2 linked regions of the Oryza sativa Japonica Group genome follow. The protein of the gene in region 2 binds, or shares a complex with, the protein of the main gene of each other region. Links are inferred from orthologs where the notes say so. Each region holds a gene or a part of one and is shown on either strand. Other genes may lie near its edges.

Region 1 (3,205 bases), on a different chromosome or scaffold from region 2:
CAGCTACTGTTATGTTCGAGAGCAGAGTTCGTATTTGTCTTAACTCGATTTGAGCGAATGGCAGTGCTCAGACATGGCGGTCATGAAGGCGAGGCTACGAGCCATGGACCGGGAGTTCGTCGTGAGGAAAGTGTGGGACGGGGAGACGGTGGTGGACCAGCTCTTCTTCCACGACCCCGACGGCAATATGATCGAGGTCTGCAACTGCGAGAACCTCCCCGTGATACCCCTCATCGTTGCATCGACGCCCGGGCTTCCTGAGCTGCTGCCGCCGGCGATGCAGACCAATGTCCATGGCTAGCTCGAGCTACGTTCTTATGTCTCTCCTTTGTACATAAATACATGATTAAATTTCATTCGTTTGAATTGGTTCATTCGTACGTTAGTTGTAAGTATTCTATTTGCTGCACCATGCATACACGTTAGTTGTAGTAATTGATTGCTGCCAAGATTACATTACTGCCCAATATATATATATATATATATGAACAAGTTGTTTATATATAATAAAGTGTTTTAAGTGTTCCAAGTCTCCGGTGTACGACGTACATGTCTCCCAAGTATTTTACTCTGTTCGTCCCATTTTAAGTGTAGCCATGATTTTCCGCGCCTAATTTTAACGGTCCGTCTTATTTAAAAAAAATTAAAAACATAAGTCACGGGTAAAGTGCTATTCATGTTGTATCATCACATAACAACAACAAAAATACTAATTATAAAAAATTTTCAAATAAGACGGATGATCAAAGTTAGACACGGAAATTTATGGTTGCACTTAAAATAGGACGGATGGAGTAATCCTGAACAGACTTTTCCCGCCTGAGAAAGCTTAAAATCACTACAGAGGCTTTTGCTTTGCCTTTCATGTGAAGCGATCATCACAAAGTGAAAAGGAAAAAAAATTACTCTCGTTATTTTAAAGGCCATGGAGTATGCGTATCCTCTGCTTTTGCTGTGCCGAGGAAAAGTGGGTTACTTCTTTAAGTATGAAATCACCGTCACACCACATGGAGTTATAAAAAAACAGTCACATACAAAGTTTTGTCAGAAATGCAACAGTATTTATCCATACCACACGAGAGCGCGTGCTGCTCAGCTCTGTCATGCAATGCAACAGGCCGTGCCAACGTCCACAGCCCAATACATTTGTGTGGTCAATTGGCCCAGAACATGTACGAGTCGCTGAAACCCAGTGCCAGAAATAGCCCTTATCCACACAAGCCACACACAGCCAGTGGCTCCAAGGCGGCACGGCACGGCAGCTTAGCCGCGCGCGCGCAGGCGCAGCAAACCTAAAAAAACCACCACCACCCACGCAACACAAACACAAGCCAAGCCAAAGCCAAGCGAAACAGCTGCGCGCAGCATGGCAACCACGGCGTCCCCGTTCCTGTCCCCGGCCAAGCTGTCGCTCGAGCGCCGGCTCCCGCGCGCGACGTGGACGGCGCGACGAAGCGTCAGGTTCCCGCCGGTGCGAGCCCAAGATCAGCAGCAGCAGGTGAAAGAGGAGGAGGAGGAGGCGGCGGTGGAAAACCTGCCGCCGCCGCCGCAGGAGGAGGAGCAGAGGCGGGAGCGGAAGACGAGGAGGCAGGGGCCGGCGCAGCCGCTGCCGGTGCAGCCGCTGGCGGAGAGCAAGAACATGAGCCGGGAGTACGGCGGGCAGTGGCTGAGTTGCACGACGCGGCACATCCGCATCTACGCCGCGTACATCAACCCGGAGACCAACGCCTTCGACCAGACGCAGATGGACAAGCTCACCCTCCTCCTCGACCCCACCGACGAGTTCGTCTGGACCGACGAGACGTGCCAGAAGGTCTACGACGAGTTCCAGGACCTCGTCGATCACTACGAGGTATACTACGCACCGTAACTCATAGGCAGAATTGGCAATTGCAAATGCAGGGTAGCAGTAGTGTACACCCATGGTCTCTTTCTCCAGGTGGAAATGTTAGTTGTAAGAGCTTAATTGGTAGTACCTGCTTAACTGACCTGGATTGAATTTACAGGGCGCGGAGCTGTCAGAGTACACGCTTCGTTTGATCGGATCTGATCTTGAGCACTTCATCCGCAAACTGCTATACGATGGGGAGATAAAGTACAACATGATGTCTAGAGTCCTCAATTTCAGCATGGGCAAACCAAGGATCAAATTCAACAGCAGCCAGATCCCAGATGTAAAATAGAATGCGTGTTGTACCCTAAAGAGAAAGCATGTAACTATCAATGATTTTCCCGTTCAAAGATGCCCAATGTATATTTTGCTCTTCCAGAAGAGCCATGAGCTAGGGTATTTCCGAACTCAAATCGGGTTCATACAAAAGCAGAACATTCACAGTCGATAATAATTTTGTCGACTCCAACATGGTTACATAAAGAGAAGCTGAGCAAACTGAGGGTATTACCCTGTCGTGAAGACTAAGGAAGGGTCTAGCACTCTAGTTTCATGGCATTTCCGTTCTATGGTTTTTGCTGAGTATTAGCGGTGTGAAAATGTCGATACTTCAGGTAATCCAATCACATTGAAATAACACCACTGCTTTATTGCTTTATGATGGTGAGATCAGGTAGAACATGGAATCCAGCCCTCAAATTCACAGGCAAAACTCAATGTTAAATTATTTGCAAAGAGGATGTGCGCATATTCCAATAGGGAATTATTTCTCGATCATTGGCAATATATTTATTTATCTCATTCCATATAGATACGAGACAATCTCTGCTGATGACATTACGTCACCCTTAAGAGAGTCATTCCCGCAAATAGATGTTTAATGTTTTGGACTTGAGGGTTTGACCAGCTGCAATGTGTAAATCTCAATCGATCAAAGGAATAACCTCGTGGTCTTTAGAAACATCAACCCATGGCCTGAATTGATCTTCATGTGCATTATTCTGCAAAAGAGTGTCATACAATTCAAAAATTGCCAATTACAAAACTGCATCTCAATCTTTTTTTAGAAAAATGCCATCGCTGCATTAAGTACTAATGTCATCATGCTACTTAGGTAGTTGTGTTGTACTAAACTGCAGAGTACAATTCCACGCAGTAAGAAAATAGTACTATTCAGTAATGCTGCAAATAAACTGTTTACGCTGCTACTTATATCAGGCTCACCTAGACTGATCTTAAAATGAACTGTATATTGAGCAGCAAATGAACCATCTATTCCGACTTAGAAAAAAAACATCTATAAGTTATCGAAAG
Region 2 (2,418 bases):
GAGGAAACAAAGGCTAAACTAAGCCTTTGGTTTGAGAAAAACCGATCCTTGTTTCACCGAGGAAAAGAGAGAAATTCTGTATAAATTGACAATGCTGACTTGAATTGACTAATTCAGTTCCGCCTATTCCACATTAATGGGAGTACATTTATGTTTCTGCTTCACGAATATGATATTTTTTGGGCATTTCTAATAATAGCAAGCCTTATTCCTATTTTAGCATTTTGGATTTCAGCACTTTTAGCTCCGGTTCGTGAAGGACCAGAGAAGCTTTCTAGTTATGAATCGGGTATAGAACCCATGGGGGGGGCTTGGTTACAATTCCGAATACGCTATTACATGTTTGCGCTAGTTTTTGTTGTTTTTGATGTGGAAACGGTCTTTCTCTACCCTTGGGCAATGAGTTTCGACGTATTGGGTATATCCGTTTTTATCGAAGCTTTCATTTTCGTGCTTATCCTAGTTGTTGGTTTAGTTTATGCATGGCGAAAAGGAGCCTTGGAATGGTCTTAACTGAATATTCAGACAAAAAAAAAAAAGAAGGAAAAGATTCCATTAAGACAGTTATGAGTTTGATTGAGTTTCCCCTACTTGACCAAAGAAGTTCCAATTCCGTTATTTCAACTACACTAAAAGATCTTTCGAATTGGTCAAGACTCTCTAGTTTATGGCCCCTTCTATATGGTACCAGTTGTTGTTTCATTGAATTTGCTTCATTAATAGGCTCACGATTCGACTTTGATCGTTATGGATTGGTACCAAGATCAAGTCCTAGGCAAGCGGACCTAATTTTAACAGCCGGTACAGTAACAATGAAAATGGCTCCCTCTTTAGTGAGATTATATGAGCAAATGCCTGAACCAAAATACGTCATTGCTATGGGAGCTTGTACTATTACTGGTGGAATGTTCAGTACGGATTCCTATAGTACTGTTCGGGGAGTTGATAAGTTAATTCCTGTGGACGTCTACTTGCCGGGTTGCCCACCTAAACCAGAGGCTGTTATAGATGCCCTAACAAAACTTCGTAAGAAGATATCGCGAGAAATAGTTGAGGATCGAACTCTATCTCAAAAGAAAAATCGATGTTTTACTACCAGCCACAAGCTTTATGTTCGGCGCAGTACTAATACTGGAACTTATGAGCAAGAATTGCTCTATCAATCACCATCTACTTTAGACATATCTTCTGAAACTTTTTTCAAATCCAAAAGTCCAGTATCTTCCTACAAATTAGTGAATTAGGAGGAGCTCTTTGTGCCGAAAAAGAAAGAGCAGGGCAATATTTCAAACTTGCATTCGAACTGCGAAATATTTATACAAAGGAGGAGAGATCAAGATAATGCAGCAGGGTTGGTTATCTAATTGGCTAGTCAAACATGAGGTGGTTCATAGATCTTTGGGCTTCGATCATCGAGGAATAGAGACTTTGCAAATAAAAGCAGAGGATTGGGATTCCATTGCTGTCATTTTATATGTATATGGTTACAATTATTTACGTTCCCAATGTGCTTATGACGTTGCACCCGGTGGATCTTTAGCTAGCGTGTATCATCTTACGAGAATACAGTATGGTATAGATAACCCAGAAGAAGTATGCATAAAAGTCTTTGCCCAAAAGGATAATCCTAGAATCCCATCTGTCTTCTGGATTTGGAGAAGTTCCGATTTTCAAGAACGCGAATCTTTTGATATGGTGGGAATCTCTTATGATAATCATCCACGCCTTAAACGTATCCTAATGCCTGAAAGTTGGATAGGCTGGCCCTTACGTAAGGACTATATAACCCCCAATTTCTATGAAATACAAGATGCTCATTGAATGATAAGAAATTCATGCTCACTTATACAACACAACTCCAGATTTTATGCAAGTCAAGGAATATTTTTACGCTCTGTTCCTAGATGAAACAGAATACCTATTACATTCTAATTAATTCCAATTATACAAAAGGTTCAGATAGACTAAGCAAAAAAGGGCTTCATTTCGTTGGAAAATCACATATTCATTTCCTTCGTATGAACAGAAAAATATGATGACTCAAAGAAGTTCCCTACCACGAACTTTGTACCGCGTGCATTACTTAGAACAACTAGTAAAGTAAGATAAGATAAGCAAGAATAAAAAAATATTTGTCGGAATAGCGGAATAGAAAATTAAGAAATGCAAAAATGCAGAAAAAGAAGTGCCTCTATTTAGAGATTTATCTACTTAGATGAAAAAATCATACTCTATCTATATTATTAACGAATATGTATCCCAACCCATCTCGAGGTATTTGTATCAATACCTATTCGGAAGATCCCTTTTTTCTGTGCCAGGAACCAGATTTGAACTGGTGACACGAGGATTTTCAGTCCTCTGCTCTACCAACTGAGCTATCCTGACCTTTTCTTGTGCATCATCCTAGTAGAGTAT

Evidence for each region. Proteins that work in one complex are often made in the same cells at the same time.
Region 1: the proteins of ndhJ (region 2) and nAD(P)H-quinone oxidoreductase subunit M, chloroplastic are in contact, whole or in part, in a cryo-EM structure (PDB 7WFG), measured with the Arabidopsis thaliana proteins. The link is inferred for Oryza sativa Japonica Group from reciprocal best matches to the Arabidopsis thaliana genes ndhJ and NdhM. Residues at the interface, in NP_051062.1 of Arabidopsis thaliana: Pro134, Ser136, Trp137, Ile138, Pro149, Asn150, Phe151, Tyr152, Glu153, Gln155, Ala157; in NP_001031804.1 of Arabidopsis thaliana: Thr156, Glu157, Tyr158, Arg161, Leu162, Ser165, Glu168, His169, Arg172, Ser192, Met193, Gly194.

What each region holds. Positions count from the first base shown.
Region 1 is NC_089038.1:27,480,375-27,483,579, forward strand, and holds nAD(P)H-quinone oxidoreductase subunit M, chloroplastic, read left to right. Parts: upstream 1-1,326; 5' UTR 1,327-1,366; coding exon 1,367-1,852; intron 1,853-2,006; coding exon 2,007-2,183; 3' UTR 2,184-2,547; downstream 2,548-3,205. Other genes in the region: uncharacterized LOC4336529, read left to right, coding at 65-301; uncharacterized LOC4336531, read right to left, coding at 2,815-2,892. UniProt on the Arabidopsis thaliana protein: NDH shuttles electrons from NAD(P)H:plastoquinone, via FMN and iron-sulfur (Fe-S) centers, to quinones in the photosynthetic chain and possibly in a chloroplast respiratory chain.
Region 2 is NC_001320.1:47,395-49,812, reverse strand, and holds ndhJ (NADH dehydrogenase subunit J), read left to right. Parts: upstream 1-1,341; coding exon 1,342-1,821; downstream 1,822-2,418. Other genes in the region: ndhC (NADH dehydrogenase subunit 3), read left to right, coding at 151-513; ndhK (NADH dehydrogenase subunit K), read left to right, coding at 567-1,244. UniProt on the Arabidopsis thaliana protein: NDH shuttles electrons from NAD(P)H:plastoquinone, via FMN and iron-sulfur (Fe-S) centers, to quinones in the photosynthetic chain and possibly in a chloroplast respiratory chain.